Arabidopsis thaliana: one gene and its partner. The main gene of each other region encodes a partner of the protein of the gene in region 2 in a complex. Each region holds a gene or a part of one and is shown on either strand. Other genes may lie near its edges. The genes, in order: DRT111 and RRC1.

Evidence for each region.
Region 1: RRC1 (region 2) and DRT111 share a complex: the UniProt entries of both Arabidopsis thaliana proteins name them as parts of the SWAP1-SFPS-RRC1 splicing factor complex.

The regions. Positions count from the first base shown.
Region 1 is NC_003070.9:10,784,876-10,799,154, reverse strand, and holds DRT111 (D111/G-patch domain-containing protein), read right to left. Parts: upstream 9,134-14,279; 5' UTR 8,841-9,133; coding exon 7,971-8,840; intron 7,026-7,970; coding exon 6,732-7,025; 3' UTR 6,430-6,731; downstream 1-6,429. Other genes in the region: PHV (Homeobox-leucine zipper family protein / lipid-binding START domain-containing protein), read left to right, coding at 1-111, 188-271, 350-505, 592-666, 741-847, 920-1,109, 1,202-1,390, 1,474-1,554 and 5 more; AT1G30475 (uncharacterized protein), read left to right, coding at 9,212-9,296, 9,436-9,522, 9,778-9,923, 10,167-10,242, 10,473-10,654; AT1G30473 (Heavy metal transport/detoxification superfamily protein), read right to left, coding at 11,048-11,661, 11,748-11,826, 11,914-11,940; AT1G30470 (SIT4 phosphatase-associated family protein), read right to left, coding at 12,740-13,442, 13,555-13,625, 13,829-13,858. UniProt on the Arabidopsis thaliana protein: As a member of the SWAP1-SFPS-RRC1 splicing factor complex, modulates photomorphogenesis by regulating the gene expression and pre-messenger RNA (mRNA) alternative splicing of a large number of genes, including those involved in plant responses to light signaling, probably by helping in the 3' splice site determination.
Region 2 is NC_003076.8:8,629,693-8,646,840, forward strand, and holds RRC1 (RNA recognition motif (RRM)-containing protein), read right to left. Parts: upstream 10,526-17,148; 5' UTR 10,293-10,525; coding exon 10,218-10,292; intron 10,104-10,217; coding exon 9,971-10,103; intron 9,796-9,970; coding exon 9,750-9,795; intron 9,494-9,749; coding exon 9,433-9,493; intron 9,332-9,432; coding exon 9,197-9,331; intron 9,077-9,196; coding exon 8,960-9,076; intron 8,869-8,959; coding exon 8,703-8,868; intron 8,355-8,702; coding exon 8,242-8,354; intron 8,060-8,241; coding exon 7,985-8,059; intron 7,589-7,984; coding exon 7,367-7,588; intron 7,291-7,366; coding exon 7,232-7,290; intron 7,129-7,231; coding exon 7,044-7,128; intron 6,939-7,043; coding exon 6,801-6,938; intron 6,657-6,800; coding exon 6,432-6,656; intron 6,348-6,431; coding exon 5,611-6,347; intron 5,142-5,610; coding exon 4,978-5,141; intron 4,817-4,977; coding exon 4,527-4,816; 3' UTR 4,137-4,526; coding exon of another isoform or gene 3,528-4,136; 3' UTR 3,444-3,527; downstream 1-3,443. Other genes in the region: AT5G25050 (Major facilitator superfamily protein), read left to right, coding at 2,330-2,693, 2,769-3,028, 3,112-3,207, 3,273-3,443, 3,528-4,136; AT5G25070 (neurofilament light protein), read right to left, coding at 11,569-13,779; AT5G25080 (Sas10/Utp3/C1D family), read left to right, coding at 14,090-14,312, 14,405-14,460, 14,559-14,613, 16,208-16,288, 16,376-16,614. UniProt on the Arabidopsis thaliana protein: As a member of the SWAP1-SFPS-RRC1 splicing factor complex, modulates photomorphogenesis by regulating the gene expression and pre-messenger RNA (mRNA) alternative splicing of a large number of genes, including those involved in plant responses to light signaling.

The DNA of each region.
Region 1 (14,279 bases), on a different chromosome or scaffold from region 2:
GCTGAAATCCTCAAAGATCGTCCATCTTGGTTCCGTGACTGTCGATGTGTCGAGACTCTGAATGTTATACCCACTGGAAATGGTGGTACTATCGAGCTTGTCAACACTCAGGTCTGTTTCATAAATCCATGAGTGTTGTTTTTGTTCCTTTAAAATGTAATGATCATTATTCATGGTTGGTTATCAGATTTATGCTCCTACAACATTAGCAGCAGCTCGTGACTTTTGGACGCTGAGATATAGTACAAGTCTAGAAGATGGAAGCTATGTGGTGGGTATTAGGACCTGGTTTTGTTCATCTATGATTCTATTTATTAGATTTGCCTTATATTTGCTTTTTTGCCTTCAGGTCTGTGAGAGATCACTCACTTCTGCAACTGGTGGCCCCAATGGTCCACTTTCTTCAAGCTTCGTGAGAGCCAAAATGCTGTCAAGCGGGTTTCTTATCCGTCCTTGTGATGGTGGTGGTTCCATTATTCACATCGTTGATCATGTGGACTTGGATGTAAGCATATTGGATTTGTAATAGCACATTAGGTTTCGTAAAAGCCTTCTATTTATGTTGATTGATACGTTTTTTTGGTTTGGTAGGTCTCAAGTGTTCCTGAAGTCCTCAGGCCTCTTTATGAGTCTTCCAAAATCCTTGCTCAAAAAATGACTGTCGCTGTAAGTTCCATATAAACCTTATCCACCCGTGACCTGATTAGGCTCTCTTTATGAGTTTTACTTCCACATTTCAGGCTCTGAGACATGTGCGCCAAATTGCTCAAGAGACTAGTGGAGAAGTCCAGTATAGTGGTGGACGCCAGCCTGCAGTTTTAAGGACTTTCAGCCAGAGACTCTGCCGGTAATACATTTCCTTGATAAGCTTAGTTTTATTTTCTAAAGCATTGTTCTAATTGCTTTTCTTGAAATTCAGGGGTTTCAATGATGCTGTAAATGGTTTTGTCGATGATGGATGGTCTCCAATGAGTAGTGATGGAGGAGAGGATATTACGATCATGATTAACTCTTCCTCTGCTAAATTTGCTGGCTCCCAATACGGTAGCTCATTTCTTCCAAGTTTTGGAAGTGGTGTCCTCTGTGCCAAAGCTTCTATGCTGTTGCAGGTGCCTATATCATGTTTTGACACTTGTGAATAGACAAAAGAACCGGTTTCTTCAATTTCTGACATCATTCTCTTTTTTATCTGCTCTTGAAGAATGTTCCACCCCTTGTATTGATTCGGTTCCTGAGAGAACACCGAGCTGAATGGGCAGACTATGGTGTCGATGCCTATTCTGCTGCATCTCTCAGAGCAACTCCATATGCTGTTCCATGCGTCAGAACCGGTGGGTTCCCGAGTAACCAAGTCATTCTTCCTCTCGCACAGACACTCGAACATGAAGAGGTACAAAGAATCTCAAGAACATTTTCCTTGTTGTCTATTCTTTTGCCATGCCTATAATCCTATTTTGCTTACTTGTTTCTCAGTTTCTCGAAGTGGTTAGACTTGGAGGTCATGCTTACTCACCTGAAGACATGGGCTTATCCCGGGATATGTATTTACTGCAGGTTTGCTTTATACTAAAGACACTCAGGGATTCTTAAAGATGAGTTATTGAAATTGAATTCTTGGTTTCTTTTTTGCTTTTGTCCAGCTTTGTAGCGGCGTTGATGAAAATGTGGTTGGAGGTTGTGCTCAGCTTGTCTTTGCCCCAATCGATGAATCATTTGCTGATGATGCACCTTTGCTTCCTTCTGGTTTCCGTGTCATACCACTCGACCAAAAAACAAATCCGGTAAAAAGAAAACTGTTTATGATAAGAAATTTGATATCTTGAAATTGACACAGTCCTTTTTCTTTTATTCCTGTATGTAACGTTACAGAATGATCATCAATCTGCAAGTCGAACACGGGATCTAGCATCGTCCCTAGATGGTTCCACCAAAACCGATTCGGAAACAAACTCTAGATTGGTCTTAACAATAGCCTTCCAGTTCACGTTTGATAACCATTCCAGAGACAATGTTGCTACAATGGCGAGACAGTATGTGAGGAACGTTGTTGGTTCGATTCAGAGAGTGGCTCTAGCCATTACGCCTCGTCCTGGCTCAATGCAACTTCCCACTTCCCCTGAAGCTCTCACTCTTGTCCGTTGGATCACCCGTAGTTACAGGTACTCTTCTTAGAACCTTAATCTAAAGACTTGTAACAATATAGAATGTGCTTATCTCATTTAATAACTCAATAAAATGTTTTTCTCCGATGTTTTAGTATTCATACAGGTGCAGATCTGTTTGGAGCTGATTCTCAGTCCTGTGGAGGAGACACATTGCTTAAGCAACTCTGGGACCATAGTGATGCCATATTGTGCTGCTCCCTGAAAACTAATGTAAGAATTCTGTTTTTTTAAGAGGTGCTCAATCTAGTTTATGGTTCGGTTTGGGAATTGTCTGATTATTTTTTGGTTCTCAGGCCTCACCGGTATTCACATTTGCAAACCAAGCTGGTTTAGACATGCTTGAAACTACACTTGTGGCACTTCAGGATATAATGCTCGACAAAACACTTGATGACTCTGGTCGTAGAGCTCTTTGCTCCGAGTTCGCCAAGATCATGCAGCAGGTTAAACATTTTCTAGCTAGTCTTTTAAGTCTTTCCCTGGAAAATACTAAGTTTGGATTGAATCTTCTTCAGGGATATGCGAATCTTCCGGCAGGAATATGTGTGTCGAGCATGGGCAGACCGGTTTCGTATGAGCAAGCGACGGTGTGGAAAGTTGTTGATGACAACGAATCAAACCACTGCTTGGCTTTTACCCTCGTTAGTTGGTCGTTTGTTTGATGAAGGAAAAGGTTGGTTATGTTAGATATTAAAAGTTAGGGGATGTTGTTTTTGGCTAAGGTTTGTTGAATTAGAGAGTCCATAACTCTATATGTAATATGGAAAAATTCTGATGATAATCTCTTTAATCAATTATGACATTATGTATGGCAAGATATTTATTTTTATTTATGTTTTGGACTTGTTTCGTTTTTCTTCATCTTCCTTTTACGAAATTTGATATATATATATATATATATATATATATATATATATATATATAGATAGATATAAGATGAATTATTATTAGTAATCTTATAAGTTTTTATCATGTGTTAATGTACAAATATAAACACAAAGATTGGCCTCAAAAGCATGTCGAATAAACTAAATTAATCATCATAGTTTTTGGCAAAAAACGTTTAATGGACTTGGTAGCTCATATGTAACATGAAAAATGTATGCGGAGTTTAGGTTGTATGCATAAATAATAATCATCCAAAAGATTAGATTTGAATGAATCTTTGACATTAAATGATCAATAATCATTACTAGTATTTATCTATTAAATTGAAATAGTATCTATCACAAGAAAACTAGTCATGATGATGCTGTTCTTTGACTTCTAGGCTGGAGGAACCTATAAACTTTTCTTTTGGGTAGTCTAGTTAGTAATGGAAGTTGATAAATAGCTTTTCTTTTGGACAGAAACCTACAAAACTCTTATGGAAGTTTTATACCGACCAAAAATATGGAAGTTTTATTTATGTACAATCTCTTTTTATCATTTTTCAGCATAATTTAAAGAAAATGGTGGAATATTTTTATATAACCAATAACAGAATTTTTTAAGTCTAAGGACAGCTATTTTAATCCGCTGTCTACATGAGTTATGTAAATCGATCGAGGTTTTACCATTTACGGATGAATGATACACACCAACCATAATCAAACCGTAAAAACTATTGAAAACCAGAACTAGCTACTACACTAGTACTAACTACTTAACCTAATGAATGAATAATTAACTAGAAAACGATAATGAAAAACAGATCAATAAATGAAAATGTGGGGCGGGTGATTTGACCGCTGCGTGATGAATGTGAATGTGGGGGCTCATGCAAAAAAAAAAAAAACATACAAGTTGAATTTTGTGTTGTGAAAAAAAAGAACGGTGAAAAGACAGAAGTGATTCTGTTTGGGACAGATCTGGCTTTGTGTAAGGAAATGCCTTACCCGATTCTGCCTTCTTCCTCCTTAGTCAACATTGCTGATGTCATTATTTCTCACCCATTTAATCCCTATAGAATTTATAAAAATGCAGTCCATATATTCAAAAAAAATTCTCATATGATAAGAGAATTGTGTATGTACAAACTTGCAAAACAAAATATACTTTTGAGTATTACTGAAGATGTCTAATTCCGTTACAGAAACTGAAAGACTGATTTGAATCAAACTGAGATTAAACTGATTTTTAAGGAAGGGATCAAATTATCATTCATGAATATGAATTCATTTTGTTTTTTTTTTTTCGGTTATAGCTCATTGACTTTCTGATTTTATAATATTTATGTGTAACCAAAGCCACCACTAAACCTCGGTAAAGAAAAAGCTCTGGTGCATATTTCATAAAATTAAAATGCTTTCTTATAGCAATTGATTAAATAATATTTTTCCCTTTGTAGCTTGCAGAGTTTTATAGCCATATATTTTCTAAATTTTTTTAAGAAATGTTATATTTTTTTTAATATGATTTTTCTTGTCATCCCAAAACCAAAACCATATTTTTTGCTAAGGAGTTTTGTTGTTGAATGTAGTGAACCTCTTTTTAGAATTTGTTTGATTGTAATTTTAAATATAATTGTTTATACGAATGGAACCTTTATCAAACATTTACTTACTGACATGAACATTTTGAGATGTCATTTGTTTGGCACAAAATCGGAATCTGGTTGCTATAGTTTTTAAAAAGAGATTTTAAATCAAACCTATGAAAATTAGAAACCGACTCCAAAAATCTAGAAACTTTAAGATTATCAACATCCATACATATACGTAATCCTCGTGACAAAGCATGTTACATGTACATACACTCACATGCACATGGCTGATGGCTGCCACTTGCATGCATGCATGGTTTTGTCTTGGTCACTGCGACTCACTAGGTATGACACTAGATCACATTTATATATATGTATCATATGTATGCATCTGCCTATGTTTTGTTTTTCCCAAAGTCATAAATAATTGAATTTCGCTGCTTGGCTGCGTATTTAAACTCTTGTGGAAAGCCTAGATGAGCTAATTTGGCTTGTTGTCTTTTTTTCGCTAATTCAAAATTTAACAACTAAGTTTGTATTGCTACAAAATAATTTTGTTACTATGTACTTCTGACTCACCGATACAAAATAATGCCACTATACTATAAGTCGACGTAAAGTAATGCCACAGACTCGCCGAACACATATCACGTGTTTAATTTATAAGTGTAGACTGATAATTTGTTAGCTCGATACGATGGAACCGGTCATGATGAATATGGCATTTTATGTAAATTGAAATTAGGGAATAATAGATAGCCATATAGTTTTAATAAGTGCAATTATGCATACAAGTATAAAACAGAACCTACAGGATCTACAATATAAAACTTTTATTGTGTTGTCTTTTGCGTTTTGTCTTTTCCTTCTTTTTTCTGTTATTCACAAAAGAAATTTTACGATACTCCAGAGTTTTGAAACTAGGGTAACACTATTTCAGAGTTTTCGTGTTTTTTTGGTAAGCAGTAGCAAAAACTGTTGGGTAATGCAGTGATATCTTATTGGCTATAATGTCAGTTTGACCCATTTAATTTCTTATAATTTATTTGACCCATTCATTTTCGTTTCATGTGTTCTGAATAGTTTTTTATCAGTGATCTGCTTCATTTTTCATTTTTGTTTTGTGTTTCTGGTAGTTGTTGTAATAATTAAGGGAAGATATCAAGATAGTGACTTTGAAAGTGTGTAAATGCACGAGGGGTCTATATAGGTCCAAAATTATTCGTAATATTTTGAACTTTGAATAAAAGTTTATTAAAGTATGGTGTTGAAAATGTAAATGTAGGTTTGATGATTGAGAGCTTTAGGACATTGAATTTTGTGCAGCACCAAAACAAGCAATACTTTTGATTTTTTCATGATACGGTGCTCCGTTTCCTGCAGGTTGATGATACATTGTCGTTTTACTTTTTTTAAGCTGTACATATTGTAACATTGACAAATTAACCCGTACAATGATTTCGATTTTTGTTTGAATATTGAGTACTGTTGTAAGCGTTTGTTTATGTTGACTGATATATATGTAGTGAATAATATACATAAAATATTACTTCTCCTATAATTAGTGCTTGAGAAATTAGGTGCCAATAAAAATGATGATCATACTAAAATGACTATAGAGAATTTTTCAATCAACAAAATGAATAAACGTTACGTTTTTATTTATGAAATTTATCTTTTGATCAAATATAAGAAGACTCTTTTTTTTCGTCATATAAGAAGACTCTTTTGATGCTATTCTTCTCATTAAAAGTTTGTACATTTCTGTGTCCTGAAATCAACGATTTTGGGCCTAGTAGCCCAAATTCTATTAACTCGATATTAACTCGAATCGTATACACTCGACCCATTAGTCTTTTTTGTTACTATATTGTCTCATGACCCATTAGTACTGGATTGTGACTATTTCATATGTTAAATCAAACCATGACAGAAAAAGCAGGAACATTTCTTGATCCTTGTGAAGCTACTTTGAACAACAATAAAGAGATAATCCCAAGATTTCTAAGTACTTTACAAATGTTTTTAAAACCTCATCTATGGTTTCTTTCTCTAACAAGAATCTCCTAGAAGATGAAGTTTCTTCTTTGTCTTAGGAGTTATTAATAGCCAGGGATTTCACCTGGAACTGGAGCCAACTCGTTCTTACTGAATTTCTCTTCATCATAGAACGTTGCACGTACGGTTCTTCCTCCAAAGTATCTCCCATCGAGGTCTACAAGGGCTTTAGTTGTTTCCTCGGGTCTTGAAAACTGAACAAAGATTCTTACTGCTTCGTGTACAGGGAAGTTCGGTTCAGTGATCTCGAATATCAGTACACGAGTGACTGTACCGTATTTGCCACACTCGCCTCCTACCTCATCTTCTAGCTCATCATCTACTTGTCCTGGCCCAACCTTCAGACACAGAGAAAACAGGTGATGGGTCAACCAGAATTGATACATGAGACAAGGAAGATACGATTTTTCCAACAAGTACTTGTTATGGTGAAAACAATCAGAATAACAAGAATGTGCCTACGTTTATGACAATCAATGTGAAGATGCATTCATTCACATACCAATAACTACATGGTTGGAATTTCCATCAAAAATTAGTCAAGAAATGAAAAAAAAAAACACAGAAAGAATAGATCTTGCGAGTTATTACAGTAATCCAAGAACCATAAAAATTACTTCATCAAATGCCAACCCCTACGGATTCATTTGTCAACTCTCTAGTATTTGGCAATCCAAGCTTAAAGCCTCAGGTTAGGCTATCCCCAAAAACCAAAGTACGGTTCCAAATGCTTATTTGACTATTTGAGGGAAAGATACTGTAACTTAAACTGTTGTTTCCAAAGAGTAGGCAATCTAAATTCTATAACAATCCAGCAGTGTACTAGGCTACCATAACATAAGTAACACTCTAAGCTACAAGCTTCACCAACAAAGAATTATCATCACAAAACTGCCAAAGCTTTTAACTTCACGATAGCTTGAAAAAATCAACATAGTCACAAAAGGTCCTACTTTCCAATGGCATCCCATTACTCAATTCCATTTCCACAGAGACATCTTTGTCAACCGTAATTCAATACTACGCCCTCACATGCTGCCAACAATTAGCAGTAACAATTTCTTAACTAAGACCACATCAAATGTTGGAATACATTAATATCATTCTAACAGACCGTTCTAAATCATTGTAGCAAAGTGTGTCCTAGTATAACAACACGTTTGATTTGAATAAGTTCTAAATTGACTTTGGCCTACTAATACTGATTCAACTAAGACTGTGGCATCCAAACTCAAGAACTGAAGAATCCATAAGCTGATAAGAGATGTTATTGAAACGCATACCATGTTTCTAAGAAGCAAAACCCTGGTTGGTTCACCATTGATATTAACACTCTTAACAACCTTCTTCTCCGCCGAAGAAGATTTATTCTCACTAGCATTGACAATGACACCAGCTCTACGATCAGTCTTCTTAGCCATCAATGGCGTAGTAATCCCTTGCTCTGATTTCCCAAGCCCTTGTCCTTGTTTCCATCCCATCTTCGCCATCATCCTCTGAGCAGCTGTCATCTGTCCACCTGCTCCTACTCCTAACCCACTCGTCTCCGATTTCCCAATACTAAACCCATCAACATTCCCCGGCGGAGACGAAGATCTTCCCTTCCCACCACTTCCACCACCACTCATAGCAGCGCGTCTCTTCCACGCTTCCTCACCGGAGATATTCAACCGAGACGGATCACTGTTATCTCTCTCTCTCTCCTTCTCCCTCTCTTCTCTTTCTCTCTTATCTCTTTCCTCATCCTCTTGCCTTCTCTTATCCATCTCTCGTTTCATCTCAGCTTCCGTAGCTTTCCTCTTCTTCTCCCTCTTATACTCCTCGTAATCGTTAGGTCTCGCTGGATCGTACTCTTCAATCACCGATGAAGTCACACCAACCAATGCAGGCTGATGCGAAGGTGCTGATTCGTTCGCCGGAATAAGCACCGATTGCGATGAATTCGAAGGAGGAGGAGGCTTGTACGGAGCCGAAACGATAGGTTTAGGTTTGTTGAGAGGTCTTAAGATTGTTTGCGGGGGAGCAAAAGCTGGTGGTTTGCGAAGTGTAGGTGGAGCCATTTTGGTACTGCTTGACCAGACGGAAGAGGAGTTTCCACTGGGTTTCTCATCATCGGTCGGTGGAGGAAGATCTCCGTATAATCCACCAAGCATTTTTTCGCCGCCGGTAAAGAGACTCAAAATTCACGGTTCGCTTTCAATTGGAAAGATCTGCTCAAATTAGGGTTTTTAATTTTTTCCGATCAGCCTTAGTAATAATAAATAAAACAAATATCATTTTGTTGGAAAATAAAAAACCGACAAACAAAGGAGAAATATTTTGTCCTTTTATTTTATTTTCTGGGCTATTTAGATTCTTGCAATAGAAGCCAACGCTTTAAAATTGATTTGTGCGAGAATTTTACATAAACCCTAAGAAAGATCTTTGTTTTTTCCGTCTTTTTGCGTTTTAGTCTTCAGGTGCGATTCACGTTCCTCATCTTTTTTGTTCTTCTTATAAACTATTTATTTGCGTTTCGTCCTCTATGATCGAGAAGCTTCGAGGAGCAACCAAAATCCCAAATTTTTCCTCGACAAAAAATCTACCTGCTTTGATCCAAATCTCTATGGGTTTTTATCATTAATCGAATTTCAAAATTGATGAATCCATAATTTTTTTCTCTATTCGATTTATGAGAAATTGATTTTTTTTTTTATTTTTCTCCCTTGTGAAATAGGTTAAAGATTATTGTTTTGTTGCTGTTTGTAGTTATGCCGGTAATGAATCCATCATTGTGTATTGGTACACAAACATCGGTGTACCTCGCTCCTCGTGAGAAATCTTTTACGAGTAATGGTATGTCTCTTCTAAATCTCAACACTTGTTGGCTCTTAAGTTTACAATTGCTTCTTTGGAAAATTCTTTGAAATTGAGTTTGGATTGCTCTTGACAAATTGAAGAAACTAGACTTGTTGTTGTTATTGATATCTCAGAGCTTTAGTGAGTGTTGTTGTAGCATTGATTCTTGCTTTAGTCCCATCGTTCGAGCTTGCTTTTATTGAATGAACAATGGAATTCTAAAGCTCTTCTTCTACTTGCTGTCTGTAATAGGAAACTCTCAAAGGCGTTATCCTACAAGCGTTTCTATGCAACGCCAGCCTTGGAGCCAAAGTAAATTCCCTTCTCTCCAGGATGCAGTGCAACCAGTTGTCGTCTCTAAGAATAAAAGACCAGTCTTTGCATGTAACTCTGCGCTGGTAGGTTCCATTCATGACTTTGCAGCCTTTAAGTTTAAGTGTTTTAAATCTTTAGCTGTTGGGATAACTTCATCACACACCATTTTGCTCACATAACTTAATTACACATCATAAGCCATTTTGCTTGTTTTATGAACAAGATCCTTTTGCTCTTATGGCCGATAATAGTTTATTTTCCGGTATTCTCTTCCTAAGTGTCTCTGAAACGCTAGCTGTTTACTTATTCTGATTTGTTTTCTGCAGAATTCAAAATGCAGTCAAGGACAAACACAGACCGTTACACGGCAATCACCAACAATCACACAAGCTCCTACTCATGGTAAATTGTTTCATCCCCTTCTCTATGTTGAACAACTATTTTGCGTTTCTAACAAACAAGAGGGGCTTAAAAAACCATACGATTCTAGCTAATATGAAACAGTTATTTTGAACTCAAATTGTGGCTTGCTATGGTTCTTATTCTTGAGAATGTGCTTTAACAGAAACGGACTGGTCTATTCTTGTTTGTATCTTCAGAATTTATTTTTTTAGCCTTAACTTAAATATCAGGAAAAGTTAAATCCCCAAAGCTTGATGACGGTGGAAACGGGTTCCCACCTCGGGATGATGGTGGTGGTGGTGGTGGCGGAGGCGGTGGAGGGAGCTCTTCAGGTGGATTCTTCCTTTTCGGGTTTCTTTTGTTCATGGGATACTTGAAAGATTTGGAGGGCGAACATGAAAACAACCATTAAATCGGAGGAAAACATGATGCACAAGCACAACAGACAAATCTCAAGACAAGTATTCTCCAAGAGAAATCTCTGTATCAAAAACAATAGATTCTAGTACTAGCAATAGGCACAGATTTGAGTTGTTATTTATGTTTTCTCTGTTGGGTTATGAATGAGATTCTTGTTCCGTGACACAAACAAAGCTCATCTTATCCAAATGTTTATGGAACCAGGTTTGGGAGATGCAGAGAATCACACATAAATGAATTCAAAATGTACCCTTGTTCTTTTGTTTTAAAAGTTTGCCAGACTTGAGAAATGTTCACTATCGGCAATTGGCAAAAGATACGAAACTTAAAAACAATTCTTTTGCTTAGTATATGTATCAGAGACATAATCAACAGAACAAGTAGCTTAGGTGACAACCTGTTTCTGCTCCCCGTAATGCAACTTAGGGTGCATCTTAAACGGTTGGGGTGCTGACTGGAACATGTTAACATTAGGTGGCATTGGAACTTGTGCTTGTTGCTGCATCATTAGTGGTCGTTGTTGCTGCATCATTGGTGGTTGCATCATTGGTGGATAGGGCATCATTGGATGCGGAGGCCGCAACTGCGACGATGTAGTAGAATTGAAGCCAAAGCCAGGAGGAACATTCTCAAACTTTGATGGGACATGCCAGTTTCGGTTTCGCATCGGTAAAGGCTGAACAACTTTTGATTTACTGCTGAAACACCATAAAAGAGAAAGCATTTTTAGTATCCCAGACTTCTTCTTCTTCTGCTGCATCATCTTCTCTTGGAATTGACGTTCCATGGGTTTAGGATCATAAGATGAATTAGTAGAGTCAGAAGAAGAGTAGTCTTCTGAATCACTGTTTAGATCATCATCATCAAGCTGGTACTTGACTGAGAAAAGCTCTGTTTTTCTGTCATGTTTATTAAGTTTACGAACCAGAGCCATGGGTTCTACGTCACCTCTGACTGTCATGAGCCCTTTTTCGATGTTATACTCCACTTCCTCTACACCTATTTCCATTGGAAACAAAGTATTTAAATCATCATGTTTAAAGACATATGAGCCACGCAATTAAAAGCTTTGAAGTATTTTTTACCAGAGATACTCTGCAATTTCATGCTTGCTTTTTTTTGGCAACCAATGCAACACTTTAGATCGACTTTTAGTATGCACGTCTGCAAAAATATACACAGAAAATCATTAGCAACTGAAAAACAGAGAGAGAGAGATAGATTGAAAGATTGAGAGACGGGAAGAAGTACCCGGACGGATTGGTTTGGGTTCGCCATTGAAGGAAGCTTGGTGAAAAGAAGAAGAAGCAAACCCTAAACTATGTAACTAGATGGAGAAAAAGAAATTGTACATAGGCATCGTTAAATCTTATATATGCAAGGGAGAGAATCAATAAACTTTCCATATTTAGCAGACTTTTCCATTAATAAGTTAAGGTAATGATACATTTATTGACGTAGATGATTAGTCATTACTGTTTGTTTTCATATCTTGATGTATATTTGAAGATTCTGGAGGATAATGAAAGCTTAGTATTTCAATTCTCCACAATGGAGATTTGCCAACGTTAATATCCAAACTCAAGCTCAGATATCTCATGTAAAGATTCTTTGAGTGTTTTTCATGATGCAAATTTTTGTGTCTGGTTTTCGTCTAGACCAAGCTCTCAATTCTTTTGAGTTTTGGTATGAAGATCTCCGAAATATACAATGTCTACTCGAAAGACTTTTGCTCTTGTTGCGATGACAGAATCGATTTCTCTGTTCACGACAGAAGCATCAAACAACAAGGAACAAGTGAAAAATTAATAGCAACAACTTTACAAGACACTTGATGAGTCTAGCTGAGGTAAAAGATTATACTAATAAAATATGAAAAGCTAGTAACAAATTTTGGTCGACAATAATGTTGAATAAAAAATACCGGATTTGGAGATGATACAATGAAGTAAACAAACAAGGAAAAGAAAAAAATAGAATAATAAATTGTACCCAAAACAGACAAAGCCCTTAATCAAACTAAACCAGAAGAAATTTTGTTTTATCAGTCAAAGAGACCCCCGGTTAAGTAAAAAGCTCACACTACCTTCTCTGGTTCCTTCACAGCCTCTTCGGTCTCTTTGGTATCTGCTTCTGCTGCAACCTCTGTTTCTTTTGTCCCATGAGGGCTTTCAGGTTCAGAGCTTTTAGCATCCGCATGAGATTCAGCAGGATCGGAATCTCTCAAGTTTCCAGTTACTTCAGCTCCACTCGCTTTTGGTGAGCTCTCTGTGGGTTCAATGCCACTAGCTTTTGGTGAGTTCTCAGTGGGTTCAACACCACTCTCATCTGGTAACTTCTCTGTGGTTTCATCGCCAGGTACACCTGGTGTTTTCACTGCACTTTTGTTATCAGTATCATCATCATCATCATTATCCTCTTTCTCAATTTGAACATCACCATTGGACAATATGGTAGTCTCCTCTGGGTTGGAAGAAGGTGGTGCGGTGGACTCAGAGGTCTCTCTCCACTCAACCCAAGCAGGTGACTTTTCAGGTTCTGGTTCACTCGGGTTTTCAGAAGGATGCTTTGATGTAGAATCCTCTGTTTCCATATCAACAGGTGGAGAAGAGGCTGCAGTGGCGTTGAATTCATCGGCTTCGCCTATGACGACATCATCATCATCTTCACCATCTCCATCAGCATTGGGTGAAGGGGAAGCAGCTGAGGTCATTGAGCGCTCATTCGCAGCTTTATCATCATCGAATGCGAACCAGTTTGAATTTGTGAAGAGAGAATCACTGCAACGACACCATGTTATATTTCGTAAGTTAAGGGACCACATCAAGCTCAAGCATATGATGCGAATCAACGGATTAATTTCTACCAGGAAAAAACAGTTGAACCGATTACCTCTCCTGGTCATCTCCAAGGCGCAAGGAGGATATGACGACTTCTGCAGATTCATCATCAAAGTAGACATCCTGCAACATAGACTTCATAAGAGGTTTTCATATCTACCATATCACTAAAGCTTCCATATTGGCTGCTTATAAAAACAGGCACAGGAGCCGCTGAGCGAGTTCTCAGAAAGGAGCAAATGAAAGACGTTAAAAATTTGAACCTACTTTTCCACAAATGGAAGTCAAGCCTCAATTCCTAAATATAAGGAAAAGACGAACAATACCTCATCATCGCGTTCCATAGAGCCTTGGGCCTGCAGTGGATAATATAGATATGTTAATGGTAGAACAATGTGATATGAGGAAAACAATGCAATGAAATCAAAAGCTCTGACGGAATTTAGTTGCTCAGGTTAACCGACTTTATCCAAGCTACTTCTAGGCTACATTAAAGATAATAAAGGAAGAGAAGATGGTCTGAAACCCCCAATGCTATATCTATCCAGTGGTCAACCAAGCAGAATGATTGAAGAAAGAAATGACGGTTTAACTATCCACCAAATACAGAGATTTGGTAACTGGATCCACCCCAGTGGTCCAATACATTAGCAAAACTTTAGACAGTATTGCATCCAATTTCACTATGTATTTCAGGACCTATCACAGGATGGCTAACATAAATAAAAATGAATTCCAAGAAAATTCCTGAATCAATTCCCTCCTTTGACTAAACAG
Region 2 (17,148 bases):
ACAATATACATGCATGATGAAATAAGCTTTCATTCTCACGACCAAAACCTTACCCTGCACGAATGAAATGAAATATGATTTTGTCATATCGAGCTAGGCGACAATCTGAGGTCATGGAATGTATGTTAACACCGCGGACCACGGTGCACCCAAGTCTCTCCAACTCTTCCACGTTGGCTTTTCCATTGTTGTAGTTACGACCTAGCCCATCTACCGTACACATAAAACATTAATCAGTAAAGTTGATAAGCTATATTGTTGAGTTTATTTTTCATGTAGTGATTATGCTAGTATATGATGATAACAATTAAAACAATATAAAACGATTGATGGTTTTAGATCTACTACTACCTCGAATATCAAAAGATGCTGCAGTGATGTTGGTGGAAGAACCAAATGCTTTGGCTAGGGACAAAGAGAATGAAAAATCTCCTTCACCGACCAGAAGTATTTGCTTATCACTATAGTGGCATACCATTTTACAATCTGCTGTTTTTCTTTTCACAACATGTCCTTATATACACATGTATAACACATATGGATGCATGAGTCAAATTACGAGAACTCGTATTAAATGTTTAGTTCTGTCTCTTCGAACTTTGTGATCATTGAAGTACGTTGAAGACCATTCATATTTCTTTTTTTTTTTGGTTCAAATTTTTTTTTTTACAACGGGTTTATTTTAAGTTTAGGACCATCAATTTATTTTGGCCCTAATAAATAAGATTATCATACACTGGAAGAGGTGACTTGCTATTTGCATTCTTTTTTCTAGTAATGAAATTATTTTTCTAAAATGCTTTCTTGATAAAGATTTATATTTGCGAAAAAAGAATATAAAAAAAGATTCATAGTTTCTAAAACAATACCAGAAGTTTTATTAGTTTTTTTGTAATAGGTTTATCAATGACAACCACCACAACATCCTCCAATGTTGAATATCATTAGAGATTGATCCGGGTTATACGTCAGAACGATATCCTTTTACAAAATAGTTTAAATTTTAAATTACATTTATTTTGTTAATATTGTTTGTTTTGTTAAGTATTTAAGATTATACAATTTTATTTCTTAATTCTATAATTTCACCGTAGTATTATCAGATGAATTTTGTAAAGACTGAAAGTGAAAATACTAAATACTTTAAGAATTTTTGGCTAAAAATCTACAAAAACGTACATGTAGATTATCAGTTTCAAGTATTTTATAAAATAAATAAAAAAAGTAATATAATAAAGAGTAACAACAGTTAGTAGTTGGTGGCAAGCTTTTGTCTAAGTCTATATAAATTATCAATAAAGGTGACAACAATATCCCAAAATGCTGGGATATATATATTTACTTTTGTTATAAAGAAATGAAAATGGGCTTTTTGGTATTTCATGATCAGTGGAGAAGTAGTGGTGACAAGATCTATATTTCACCCAACGATTTCCAAACACGTATTTAAAGAGGATATACTAGGTTAAGAAACACAAACAAAACTACTTCTGTTCCTTTGTTTGGCGACTCTTCAAAAAGCTTTTGGATTTTATTTTATTTTGGGAAATACTGGAATTAGAAAACTTATACACATAAATCAAATTCTTTCAGATACATTGTATTCTCTAATATACTTTAAAGTTACGTAATTTTAATTACAAATTCTTACGTTCACCTTTAACAACAACGAAAAAGGTTCTTCTTATGTAGAGAAAGAAAAGTCAAAAGTATTGATGAAGTAATATGGTGACTTTGATGCAAAACCAAGCTTAATTCCATTTAACAAAGAACTCATCTTCTTCTATTGAATTAATAACCTTATAAATTCTATAAAAAGCTTCTATTTTTGAGGTAAAATTGCAAAAAATAAGCAGAGGAAAACAGACAAGAATGTTCTTAGTAAGAGACAAAGAAAGATGTGTGTTCTGGTCAAACATTTAGCAGCAAAAGCTTTGACCTTTTCCTTTCGTCTCTCTTGATCTAAGTTTTATCCTTTAGTTTCTTTATTCATTTTCTTTTTCTTCTCTTCTTCTTCTTCAATGGTCATTTGTTGTTCATACGAAAACAGGGTCAACGAATGTGTGCAAATTTCATTTTTGTTTCTTGAGTTTAATTCAAGATTCATCATATTTGATTCCCAAATCTTTGATTTTTGACTTGCTTACATCAAAAGATTCATCCTTTTTTTAATAATCTGAGCTCAATCCAATCCAAGACATACCAACTTCAAACAACTCTCTTGTCCTCGCCCCTCGGATCTGTTTTTCAGACCAAACCCATATCAAAAGTTTCAACATTTAAGCTCAAAACAGAGCCAAATCTTGAATCTTTCTCCTCCTTGCAAGTTATGGTAGTAGAAGAGCAAAGCCTTGAAAACGGCGGATCCGTACATGTGGTCAAAGGAGAAAGTAATTTCCGTAATGTGGTGTGTGGTCCTGTACGGTGGCTAAAGATGTTGTCTTCAGAGCTTCATTGGAGCTTTGTGTTTGGTGTAGTCTCACTATATGGAATTAACCAAGGGCTTGGTGGCTCATTAGGTCGTGTAGCTACAGAGTATTATATGAAAGATGTTCAAAAAGTTCAGCCTTCTGAATCTCAAGCTCTCACTGCAATCACTAAGATTCCATGGATCATTAAACCACTTTGGGGCATTCTCACTGATGTTCTTCCCATCTTTGGTTTCCATAGACGTCCTTACTTCATTTTAGCAGGTAAAATCTCGCTCGAAATTTCGATCAAAGTCTCTTTGATTTCTCTTTTAAATGTACAAAACTCTGTTTTTGTAGGGGTGCTTGGAGTGGTTTCATTGTTGTTTATTTCACTGCATAGTAATCTACACCTTTACTTGGCACTGTTTTGGATGACAATATCAAGTGCTGCAATGGCGATTGCTGATGTAACCATTGATGCTTGTACTGCTTACAATAGTATCAAACATCCTTCTCTTGCATCGGATATGCAGAGTTTATGCAGTTTAAGCTCTTCCATTGGAGCACTTCTTGGTTTCTTTATGAGTGGCATCTTAGTTCATCTTGTTGGCTCTAAGGTTAATGAATCGTCTGTCTACTATGATCTTTTTCATTTGTGTTTCCTCTCTAATGCTGTATTTGGCTTGTTTTGCGACATTAGGGTGTCTTTGGATTGCTGACATTCCCATTCGCGTTAGTATCGGTAGTCGGGATCGTGTTTAGTGAGCCCCATGTTCCTGGTTTCTCTTACAAACAGGTAATAATTATTCTCTCTTTGGTAGCTTGATCATGAGGGTATTGACTCTTGTTGTATCATTTCAGGTGAACCAGAAATTTACCGATGCAGGGAAAGCGATGTGGAGGACAATGAAGTGTTCAGATGTGTGGCGGCCGAGTTTGTATATGTACATTTCCCTTACTCTTGGTTTGAACATACATGAAGGTCTCTTCTATTGGTTCACAGATTCAAAGGATGGTCCTTTGTTTGCTCAGGTATTACCAAAACAAATAGTTTCTATTTTCAAACTTCACCCCAAAATAAGTAATATGCTGAAGAACCTACCTGGTCTGTTTTAGGAAACAGTTGGTTTCATTCTCTCCATTGGTTCAATCGGATCGATTCTAGCAGCAACGTTATACCAACTAGTCCTAAAGGATCATCCGTTCCGCGGACTTTGTTTGTGGACTCAACTTCTCTTTGCTCTATCGGGAATGCTTGACCTCATTCTTGTGTTCCGTCTCAACTTAAAATTTGGTTTACCGGATTATCTCTTCATAGTAGTGGACGAGATAGTTTCTCAGATGATCGGACGCTTGAAATGGATGCCGCTGCTTGTCCTCACTTCAAAGCTTTGTCCCCACGGAATTGAAGGGACGTTCTTTGCATTGCTAATGTCAATTGACAATGCAGGCCTCATGACCTCATCTTGGCTTGGAGGGATAATGTTGCATGTCCTCAAGGTGACTCGGACTGAGTTTGGTAACCTGTGGCTTGCGGTTTTGGTCAGGAATGTCATGAGACTTTTGCCGCTTTGTTTTCTGTTTCTTGTGCCTAAAGGAGATCAAAACACGTTCAAGCTCCCGGATGAGATAATGGGCGAAGATTCGGACGAAGAGAAAGATGAAAAAGAAGGAACTCGGAATTTGGAATTGGCTTCTCTTGTTCACTCTGTTGATAGAAGATAGCTAGTGTTCTTTTATTATAGTGTTTGAAGCAAATGCTTCAGTTTTTCAGCAGTTTTGCCGAACTTCACTTTTACTTCTGGAAAGTGCAAAAGGCACACACTACATTTTTCTCTGAATGCATAACAAGTTTGTGTGTTTTTGGTATAGAAGAAACAATTCTTTGTGAATTTGGGGACCTACCTAATCTACTTACATTTCTAAAATAGTTCCATAAGAAAAACAAGAATCCAGTAGAAGAAACAATTGAGTGAGAAATCTTTCAGAAATTGGGATACAAAATTACAAGCTGTGTCTGAGAACAAGTTCTACAATATCTTCTGGATTTAAAAACACAAAAGGTTAAAATCTTGAGAACAGACCATGAGGTGAGAACAAGCATAATCATCATTATCATCTCGTGCCTCGTCTGCGCCAATCCCTGTCTCTCTCTTTGCTTCTATCATTATCGTCTCGATCGTGGCTTGAACTCTTTTCACGTCGATCTCGATCCCTGTTCAAATCATGTTGCCTATCTCTGTCTCTGTGTCTCTCTCTATCCCTGTCTCTCCCCAAGTCATGATCTCTCTCCCTCGTTGATGATTTCCGTGGCGGACTTTGGCTCTTGTTTTCCCCACGGTGCCGCTTTTTAGAGGACTCTTGTGAATCTTCACGCTTCTCCTTCCGCTCTATTATTGATTTCTCTGCAGTTAAAATCAATGTGTGAATACCTAATTTAATAGTGTTTGAGACGCATTAATAGTGTTTCACTCATTGTTGCATCGAATGGAAATAGAGCAAATTAACAACCTTTCCCAAAACAAAAGAAGAGTATGTGTATGTTGGGTGAGAAGTAAGAACTTACGATTTCTGTTGCCCTCGTTAGGTCCTGATAAGCCATAATCGACTTCAAGCCTCTTTCTGTTTATTTCTACTTTTCTCTCTATCTCTTCGGGGTTTTTCATCCCCTGTTCCTCAAGAGTTTCACGATACTCTATCAAAGCAACTTCTATGCGTCTCCGCTTTTGTCTGCAGTAACAAAAAACAGAGCAAGGGAGAAGTCTATTGAGTTTCAGATTATACAATTGAATAGCAACTTCTACTGAAAGTAAGTTCTCATATTTTCTTGTTAACTTTAACAGTATTGGTGCAAGCTCATGTATGGGTAGGTAAGGCACATTTGGGTACATACAATTGATGCATATGCCCAAAAGCTTTCTATGGCTCTCAATTATCCAACTTAACCGGGTAAGAGCCAAAATACAAAATAATGTGTACTCTATAAAGACCAAATCAATTGAAGTTCACAAGAACACACCTCCCTCACTAACATAAACTACCCTTACGCTGATGTTACTATTTCGAGGAATTCTTTGTTGTTTTTAATGCTCAAGCACCAACATGAAGCAATAATGCAAATTGGTGTTTTTTAATCTATATTTTGCTTGCTTAAGTTACTTTCCTAATATCTTTTCATAAAGAGATGCATTGATCATACCTTTGTTCCTCGTCCATTCCGTTGTCAGGTTGGGCACGGACACAATCATTTCCCTTGAGATCCTCGCCATCGGCCTTGAAAGTTATCCCACCAGTATTGTCACTTCCTGAAGAGGAGCTCCTCTTTTGTTCATCATCAGCTTCATCATCGTCTCTCGCCCATTTTGAAGCTGGCAATATGAGTTCATTCTTCTCTTTTCCCACAAAGGCTTTCAGCTCAGGCTGTGGGATTGGTATTGTCGTGGGTAGATTCACAGGCTCTTTCATTTCAACCTCTGCGTAGCTGTTCTTGATATGCTCCCGCTCACTCTTAACTTCTTCCCAAGTTGAATGGTTTTGCGGATGCTTTGGAATTTCATCCACTGCTTCATAGCCGCGTTGTTTCTCTGTGTCTTCAAGGCTTAGTAGCCGGGTAACCATCATTACTCTACCTCCTACAAGAGACAGTCCGTTGTGCCGACAACGCCTCTCAAGCTCAGCAATTGGTAAATTCATCAGCTCTTGCCTTGCAGCTCCTTTGCCTATTGCCAGTGCAGCATCTGGATTTATCTTTCCAATATCACTCATATTGTCAGCGTAACTTTTGTTCTCTATTTCAGGTGCATCACCGCAGATAGAATGAAATGAGGTAACACCAGAGACTCCTGATCGGAGAAATGTGGAACGTAGTCCATATATGTATGCGTCTGAAAAGAGAAACCAATCTGCCCATACTTGCAGTACTTTGAGAACCCGTTCCTGCAAAAAGTCAGAAAGAGTTTAGAAAAGTATATTTATAAGGGAATGAAAACCATCAACGATCATTTTTCTTTCTGACAGTACTTTTAGAGCCTCAGCAGTAATTCTTCCAGTTATGCTTCGGTACAGATCATTGAAGCTTTCCATTATATCAGGTAGAGTTGCTTCGAATTTGGTTCGGTATGCAGATGCATTTTTAACACGTGCACTGCTATTATGAAGAATATCAGACACAAGCATGAGTCTAGCAACTTTGGTTGGAATTGATGTCTCTTTTAGAGTCAGGGACTCCGTCAAAACTTCAACAACCTGTGGAATTAAGTACACATATATAAGTAGGAAGAGGCATATGAATATCTATTTTATTAACGAGTAGTTCTGTTCAAATTTTTTGTGGTGTCTAGAAAAAACCAACTAAATGTACTGAAATATATAAGTCAGAACATATTGTACCTCTCCAGCTGCATCTGCATTATCTAAAGCGAAACCCATAGCTTCTTTTATCTGACTCCTTTCTAAAGTAAGAGCACGCAACATGTCCTCGAACTCATCCCTCTGAGGATCGGTCAGAGTCCTCTCAACTTCCGCACGCTGTAAGATTTAACAGTGTCAGGTATCCCGCACACCAAAAGAACAACTTAGCTAACAAAAGAAAAAGAAATAAATAAATTAGAAGTAAGAGTGCAAGAAGATTACTCTGGTTCTTCCCGCCGCATAAGTGCTGGCAGACTCTTTTTCGTGCTCCTGGGTCCTAGTTACAGGCAGTGGTGGCGGTATCCATCTGCAATAAGAGCAAATAGACAGTGTTAATACAACAGATGTCATATGCAAAGGTAAACCAACCGAACACCCGGATCAGTTTCAAAGTTGGCAAGGTTCAATACCTTCCACTACCAGTTATCATGATATACGGCTCTGTTCTCCACCTTTGAAGTGTATCACCCTAAACAATGCAAAAATATTCAATCAGCTTATGACAATGCAAATATATGCCTAGTTAAAAGGCAATCAAAATGTACCTGAGCGAAGGAATATAGTCTCCAGACGTAGTAAGTATGCTCCTTTGAGCCAAGCTCGAACATAAACTTGAACAGTGGATTCCCACGGCCCCTCTCCATGATAGCTTGTTCAAAAGCACATTCACCATCCAGAACATAGAGTGCCAATGTATCAATGACATGTCTGAGGTGCTCGTCCTCAGGGGTAACAACAGTGATATCCGGAACATTAGGGGTAAGAACCTGTTCAATGCAACGGAAGTACATATGGATTAAGATTATTAAAGACGGGCAGCTGTAAGAGTGTCGTCAACTATAGGTGCCGTATCAGCAAGTTACTTGAATCAGTATCATTACAAACAAGAGAAGCATTAAGTACTGAGAAGTTTCAAGTATCTGGGGACTGGTTTAGTGCCATTGGGGGTTTGGAAAGTAGAGGATGCACTACAAATAGAATTGATCCCAAGTTTGGTTTTTAGTTCTGCTTTTGTCTTTCATTACTTTAAGAAATAAAGACAATCAATTCTGAAACTTAACAGTAACATTTCTGGACTATAAAGTAATTCAAAAGCCTTCCACGAATATCATATAGAACTTATAAAGAACCAATTCAAGCCATGTGGAACCAAGTTTACATACCAGCTCAGAATTTTGATTTGGAACAGAAGTTATTATCGGTGGACCCGTTTGACCAGAAAAAACCAAGTTGCAGCCCTGCCAATGAAATATTTAAAGTTTTTAGAGTTAAACTAAAGAGATATAAAACTGGCAGAACTTTTTATGCAAAAAATGGCAAGGAAATACCAATAAATTCAGAGATCGGGCCATACATAGGTTAGTGAACAGAATTAAAGAAGAAATATATCTAGAAGAGCAGCACAGGATGCATCACAAACCTCCTTACTCCGAATAGCCATATGTCCAGGTGGTGGAGCGGGTAATGCTTGTGACGGTAGAGAAACTGCTTTACCCCATCCAATTTTCAGTTCATACTCGTACACGATGATCCCTGTAAAATTGGAAATTTTCCTTCATAACTTTCTTTAACATTGTCACATGCAATCAGGTATATAGTTAGTACAAAACCAGTCGACTATAGACAGATAGACTAGTCAATAATGCCAGAAGGGTCATTAGTTTCCAACATTAATCAACCACTGGGTATATGTTTCGATCAACAAGGAAACCAATCAAATTTTGTTGAACTGAAGTACTCAAACTAATATGCCTAAAACGTTTCTTGTTCAACTATCCATTTTAATCTCTCATATATATCACACATGTTGCATCTACCTAGAAAATGATTTCTAACCAAGGCTAAAATAGAGAGTCCTAGATAGAAGAGAGGCTAGCTAACCTTGCATTTCATCTTTTGCAGCTTGTCCATCAGCCCTATTCATGAAGGAAACAAAGCCACAGTTTCTTTGTCGCCTCTTCTCCTCATCTGTTCTTGGCCACATAATCTTGACACTAGCTATGGGCCCAAATCTTCCGAAAGTGCGCAGAAGGAAATTCTCATCAACCTACGTGAGCATAAAATTATACCTTATGAATATTAAGAATACAATGGCGAGAGAAAACAACATATGATCCAAGTAAGAAAAGAAAAAACACCTTTGGGGACAGATTCCCAACATACAGATTCGTAGTTTGTGGGTCACCATCGTCAAACGATCCTGGCCTCCCACTGGGATCAAAATCATCAGGTAGCTCATCAAAGCGGCTAGATGGCTGAATACAGAATAAGTTTAGTATAGAAAGCCGGGAGTCCAGAGTAAATATGAGAGCAGAACACCGATGAAGAGAGCAAAAGAGTATGATGAAGAGAGCACAAGAGTATAATGAACTAACCGAGCTATCGCCCTGACGGTCACGATCCTGGTTTCGTCTTTCTCTCATTTCTTGTTCACGTTTCAACTCCTCCATGAAATTATCTATATTTCGAGTCTTTCCCTTTTCTCTTTCCCTAGGCCTCTCCTCCTCCCTCTAGAAAGATGAAATAAATGAACTTACAACTAAATAATTGTGCTTCAAACAACAAACCCAATGAACAAGAGAATTACAGTGACAAAATCCATGCTACTGACCTTCTTCTCCGGTTCTTTACCCTTGGATGCCAGTGGTGGTGGAAGGAAAGAGGGAACATACCTACAAAGATTAAGTGGACGATAATCTTCTATATAACAAGAATACACGAATGAATTTCAACTTATCAAGCAATACCCAAGAACATCATTCCTAAGACCTCAGCTAGTTACAAATACATGATTAATAATATTTTACTCAAGCCTGGTAACAAACATATCAAAAGTGTATAACTCATCAGCAAAATCACGAGCGACCAAGCTCTTTCGATCTACGATAGCAAAGCGAGATTGATTCAATCAAAAGCAATCAGTTTTACCTACTCCCCTTCTTTGAAACCGAACCCCCATCTTTGGACTTTTCACCTGCCATCCGCGAACGCATAGAAAAAAGGTCCATACACTTATTAATGCGTTCCCAATATAATCAAAGCATTGCTCTAACCATTTGACACCAATCAAAAAGAACAAAGTACACACAAAGAGAGAAGCAATTGTAAACAAACAGTTAAAAAGCTGTGTAGCCTTTGCAAAGACTAACCTTCAGAATCAACCTTAGGCTTGTCACCAGGATTTATCGTCCCACCTCGAACAAAAGTCTTAGTAGTTGCATTATCCCCTTGAAACGATTCCACGAATTCTTGATACAAACGAGCCGTTTCATCCTCTGCTTTCTGCGATTAAGATCGAAAACCCCATCGATTAATCAATCAAATCAATCTCCGATGAACAAATTTCTCAAATTCTACCCAGGAATAGCGATGAATCGATTGAAAATTTCAACTCACCTTCTTCCTAGCTTCTTCTTCTTCTCTGTGTTTCTGGAATGGTGTTTTCTTACGAGTGATCGAGAATGAACTCATTGTTTCAGCATCCAACTGCTCCTCGGGAAACTTGTACCCAACGAAACAGAGAAGCCGAATTGATGATTGAGAAAGATCAAAGTAGAAAGATACGAAGACTATGGATTCTGATTCGGAACTAGGGTTTGGATGAATCGAGAAAGGTGACGATTGATCAGGAAGCGAGCTAGGGCTCGAGGAGAGAACACAAGACGAGCTAAAAACGGGAGATAGGGAAAAATAATAATTAGGATAAAATATTTGTATTTTCAGTCGTCTTTTAAGAATTTGTGGAATTTTAAATTAATTATTGCGTAAGCATAAAATTTTGATAAATAAATTTAAAAAGTTACATATACAAAAAATGATAATAAACAAAATTTAAATCTAAATTGATATTTATTATAAACTGGAAAGAATATATTGTTTCAAAAATAAAAACTTTTAAAATAACTATGAGTGTTAACATATATTTGTAATAGAACAAAATTTTTTTTGCTGTTGTTTATAAATTATAACTAGAAGAATTGAAATTTGAGATTGAGGTTAAAGAGTTAACGTTCTATTTAATAGAGAGATTTAGAGAGTGATATAAATAAGAAAATACATATTTAGAAGTGATTTGGAGTAAGTAAAATTTTACATAAACTGTATCTTTATATATTATTCCCACAAAGAATATTTTCATATATTTAGAGTTGGTTATCTTAGTTAAGAATGGTTCAGATGATGATGAAGTAAAGTTCATTATAGTGGTTTCCTAGGCTACAATTCCACAATGGTATCAACATCTTCAACTTCTCTATGTAAAATCATAGCATCCAAGAACATCCCACTTTGTTACTTACAGCGAGAGCCAGACATTTCGACGGAGAGGTGTCATAAGACTACTCAAGTCCAATACAAATAAAAATTCAAAACAGAATTGCCATAACGAGCCAAGTTTACAATTTTTAAATTACAATGACTAGTAAGACAACAATGTTTACCTACCAAATCAACAGTTTGATCTAAAGTAAACAGAGAAACAAAGAAAGTATATTCCAACAAAAAAAAGTTCCTGGTGTTTCTATCCTCGTAACATTTTGAATAGAATAAGCTTTCTCTCTTTTCTTTGAACAACCAAATCGATCAACACATGGATCCCAAAAACAACCAAACAAAAACCATATACGTGGACTGCGTTATGGAGCTTAATGTTGTTGATAGATTTACAAAACCAACCATTCGGTTCTTTTCCTTGATGATTCAGGACATTCCTGTAGTCCCTAGGATTGAACCTGAAGCAGTTTCAGAGTTAAGATGGAACAGATTCCACCAGTTCTTGTAATTTTTTCAGACCAACGGTGGCTATGAGTTCCATCGAGACAAAAACTTCATTAGATTTTGCTTTCTCTTCTTCCTCTTCCTCTTCTTTGAGACCGCCTGTGAGTTTAAGCTTCTCTGCCTCGGATTCTGCTTCTTGCGCTTCCTCAAGTAGAAGATTAGCTTCTTCAAGGTCGCTCAGTTCCAGAGCAGCTGATCTCTCAGCTTTTGCAGTTCCACTGTCAATCCGCAACCTCTGGAATCTACTAATAGCCAATTCTTTTTCTTTCGACAAAATCAACTTCTCTATCTCTTGTAGCCTCTTGATGGTTTCTTCAATCTCATGCTCTGCTTTTTCGAGCTCAGCGTTAGCTTTTCCTGTTTCCATCTGTGTCTTATCCTTTTCTAAATTTAAAGACTTGGCTTCTGCAGCTATTCTTCCAGCTTCTTTAAAATTTCTCGTTGATGCAGCCACTTTCTTCTCTGCTTCAAGCTCCGGCATCCTTTTCTCTATGAACATAATTTTATCCATGAAAGATGTAATGTTCTGTTGGATGATCGACTTTTTAGAAGATCGCTCCTTAAGTAACTCTCGGGTACTGGAAACCTCCTCTTGTAGCTTCTGTACTTCCTCAGAAAGCTTCTCTTCGATATTTACAAGCTTAGCTCTCTCTTCTCTAGTTTTAGACACATATGACATCAAACCTTTCCGCAATTTAATAACTTCCTCATATTCACAAGCTTCATCCGCTGAAACACGGGCAAGATCACGAAGTTTGGCTCCTCTCTCCTTCTCAGATGTCATGAACTCGTCCACGTCTTTCTTCTTCCTTGATAAATCTTCAGTTTCCTTGTCAACCTCAGTGAGACCAGCTTGCACATCGTTTAACATTTTATCCATACTTGTTTGCAATTCCTTGAAGCCAGTCACCACATTGTTAATTCTTTCCTCAACTGCCTCTATTTGCGAATCGTTCTCGTCAATCTCCTTCTCCTTTGCCTTCACCAAAGCAAGCAGCTCCTCAAGTTCATTTGCCAAATGTTCTTTCTTCTTCTGCAGTATCTCCTTCTCTTTCATATCTTGTTCAACAGATCCCTCAAGAATACCATTCAACGACAACCGAACGTTATCAACAACAACAGATTCTATATCCAATTCGACTTTTCTAACCTCAACATCTTCAGAACATGAATGCCATTTCTCCATTTCATCTGAATAAAAAGCTTCTGCTTTCTCCAGAATCGATCCAGCATCATTCTCAGCATCCGTGCCAAAACTACGAAGCAGACAGGCAGATTCTTCTTCAGCTGCAATCTGAGAAAGAAGAACCTCTTCCATTTTCGACTCAATAGCATCGCAATCAGATTCCGCTTGGCGAAGCAATGCCAACAATGCTAGCCTATCTCTTTCCTTAGCAGCGAGGCTTTCGCTAATCCTCTCAGCCGCATCGAAATCCTCTGTCTCGATCGCTTCCTCAAGCTGCTTCTCGAGCTCTTCGTGCGTCGTAGAAGCTAATCTGAGATTCTCAGATGCTTGCCTTTTCTTCCTAATCGCATTCTTACGAGCAGAAGTAACCGAAGCAGCCAAATCACGAGAACGATTTAGCTTCGCTTCGATCTGAGCCTTAACTAACTCCAACCTTGAGCTACCATTACCAACAACCACAGTAACAACAGGAGAGTCTAAAGATTGATTACCGGAATCAAACACTTGCGCGACGGAATCAGATATTTGACTAACTGAATCTGATACTTGACTAACGGAATCGGATTGTTGACTAACGGCATCATCTTCGTCTTCGTCGAGATTGTTGGTTTCGTGCCTACCGTATCCAATTCTTAATCCAGCCGCTCTCTTCTTCCTCCGTGACACCTGACGTCCATAATTCTTCGCCGGAGATTGATGAGTAGTGATAACTGCCTCCATCGGCTCAGGTTGGTGTTGAACCGGAGTCACAATCGTTAAGTCTGAAAACAGATTCTCGTCCAAAGCCTCCGTAATATCTGGCTGAGAAGTAGCCGTGATCAGTGTCGCCTCCGTCACATCTGGTTGAGAAGGAGCCGTGATCAGTGTCGCCTCCGCCGCCTTGGTTTCTTCAGATTGAGGCGGTGAGCTTACCTTGCTGTCACCGGAGAACTGAGACGCCGGTGTAAAAAGCTCCATCCCTTCGAACAGGGAATCCATATCGTCGCCACCATCCATCGCCGCCGATCTGATCAATCACCGATCTGATCTACATTTGAGTTTGAAACCTTTTAATAATTCATAAAAATAAATTCACTAGTTTAATGGGCCTTAAATGTTTGACTTGTCTTGGGCCTATTAACGGCCCATATTTGATAATGCTGACGTCACTCTTTCCCGATTGTGTTAGCGCCTCTTCATCTCCATAAAGATAAAAATTTCAACACTTGTCGGCGACTCAGAGAATCTAACCGGAAACCTAATCTCTTTACCTCTGAGTCTATCTACGCCGGATTTTTCAATTTTCAAATTCTCGATTCGATTGAAGATGGAAGGAGGTGGAGGAAGTAGCGGCGGAGGAGCTGGAGGAGTGGTTCCGGAATCAGCGATTGAAGCGGTGAATCAAACACTTGCGTACCTCAAGGAACTGAAGCCACAGCTTGAGCAGATGCTGACTTTAGCTGAGCCAGAGGTTCTCGCTGCAATGCAACCATTACAGCGAGCTAAGACTATGCACTTGCTAGCTGAAGCCACCACTACTCTTTACGAACGTAACACTCTTTCTTCTTTGTGAATCTGTTTCGATTGAAGTTTGTTTGTTTGTGATAAATTTGAATTTTTTTGTTGTTTTGTGTGTTTACAGTGAGGTTGAGATGTACTGGTGTTGATCCTGATGATCATCGTGTAAAATCTGAAATTGTATGTGTCTTTGGATGTTTTAGTTCTCTTATTATCTTGTTAACTTAATCAAAATGGTATCTTTTGTTGTTTGATTGATGGTAGTATTGGTTTTGTAGGAGCGGATAAACGTGTACAGAGAGAAGTTTCAGAAGTGTGTTGATCAAAGTAAAGGTAAAGATTGATTTTCTGGTGCCTGGATTGATTTGTAGAGAGATCAAAAACTTGTTTGGTTCTGTGTGTCTTTTGGTTTAAACCATTTGTTTCAGTTTGAATTGGCCATTGTATTGTCTCGTGGATTAAGCAAGTTTTTTTGGCTTTCTCTTTTCATTGGAGAATTGCTGCTTTCAATTACCTTTGTTGGGGGATAATATTTCAACCATGTTCAAGGATTATGCTCTCAGCTTAGAATTTATTTAGCCTTTCGTAATTTTAGAGGCTAATAGGTGCTAACGATTTCTTAAGCGTTAAATGATATCCTCTGTGTACCTTATTGTTGATTAGTACATTTTGAGGACTTGCGTTTCTGATCCTTTGTTTGTTGGGATTATGTATCTGCCTTATATAGTTTTCCTTGTTTTGTTCGATGTTTAGTGTTGATACTATTTTTCGTAGATATGATGATTTTCTTTAAAAGACTCTTTATTGCTTGTACCCATCTTAAATGCAGGGAAGTAGTGTTTCCATTAGAAGGCTTTCTCTTTTCATTGGAGAATTGCTGCATCCATTTACCTTATAAAGTTGTTGGGGATAATATTTCAACCGTGTTCAAGGATTTTGCTCTCAGCTTAGAATTTATTTAGCCAGTCTTAATATTAGGCAGATAGGTGCTAACCTCTTCGTTGATTAGTACATTTTCCGAGGACTTGCTTTTCTGATCCTCTGTTTGTTGGGATGATGTATCTGCTTTAGATTGTTTTCTTTGTTTTGTTCTATGCTCAGTGATGATTTTATTTATTTTTGGTAGATATGATGATTTTCGTTGAAAGACTCTTTATTGCATGTACCCATCTTAAATGCAGGGAAGTAGTATTTCCATTGGAAGGCTTTCTAATAATGAATCGCGCCTAATCCATTGTTCTGGACTTATCTTTTAGTCACCTTACTATTGCATCTACCTATCATCTTATATTGAAAGGAGATTTCCTCTCGTAGTCTATTGAATGAAATTAGGGAGACTGATTCGTGATCTAGTTTCTCTGTATTTGTTTTTCCGTTGAATAGCTTTAAAATCAAAGTGGATAGTTTCAACTTTGTTTTGTCAAGATTTACTTCCATTTAGACAACTTATTTGATTTGAATTTATTTGTGGCTCATTGTTGATGTTAATGTTTCGCGATGTTTTTCGAAGTTTTTTCTTATTGTGGAAGATCCATTTGTTCTTGTCTACTATCTCAAATTTTGGAGGCTAGTGTCTTATCTTTGTTTATCAACGAGCTTTTATATTCCGTTTAGAAAGTGCTTACTCAATTGGTAACACTTGTGCTCTGCGTTTTTGTGAAATGACTCGTGGGCCTTTCGGGCAAGAATCGTTTTGTCGATATGCTACCGGGTACTAATGGGCCGACTAGTTCGACTTAGTTTCTCGAAAGTATTTCTTTTCATGCACATCGTTTCATATTTAACTTGTCTAATTGATGTTTGGTTTATCTGATAAGGAAATTTTGTAGTCATTTCGATTTTGTTAGACATTGAATGGCTACCTCTAATCAATATCTTATCCTCTAAATGTTCTCTTATCTATTTCTCTTTTTTTTTTTTACCGTAGGACCTTTGCGCCCGACCACTGTCTTAAACCGTCAGGCAGCAACCCGTTTCATCGAACATTCTCTACCTGATCTTACATCGAGTAAGCTTTTGTACAGTTTGTTGTTTCCACCTCTCTCTTTTACTGTATATCATTGTTTCTCTAACAGTCATTGCTAAATGAATCTAGCCCAAAAGCAAAGCATTAGAGACCTCAGTAAAGGAGAGAAATCGAGGATCAGGTATTCTGAAACATCTGCGAGAAAGAGGAAATACCAATCAAATGAGAAACAGTCTGTTCAGTCAGCTGCGAAGGACTTTCTTGAAAAGGCAGCTCGTGAGATTATCGGTCACAATGAAAATGGTTTGAAGGGCCCTTTAGTAGCGGCAGCTGATGGTTCAGATGATGTCGAAGTTGGTACAGCCTGATTTATTACCAATATATCATGGTAATGTTCTCTTCTGATTATCTTTGACACCTGAAAGCAAATCTCTAGAATTGCCAACTAGGTGGATGTCTAAGGAAAAAAAACGATTCTTTCTCCTAATACTTTATGACTATGATCACATAATGAAAACACTGTTTCCTTCCATTTGTTTTGAAAACTATAGTCTCTTTATGAGTTATCCTTAGGGATTTATTTGCTTCTCCTCATGGTATGATTATAATATCTTTGAGTCATATAAAGGATGTACCAATAAGGAAGATTTGTTCATTGTAGTGATTTCTCTCCTAGGCTACAAATAGCAGAATAGTATCAGCATCTTTAGTCCTCTTCGTGTAGATCATTGCATCCGTTACTTATCTGCTGATTATCGTGAAGTTTTCAGCACCATTTCTGTCTCTACATGCCAGGATAGTATCAACTTCTCAGTTCTCTTCTCTTTGTGAAGCATTGCATCCGTTACTTTGTAAATTCTCAGTCCTTCAACTCTTTCTCTTCTTCATATTTTGCAGCTGCT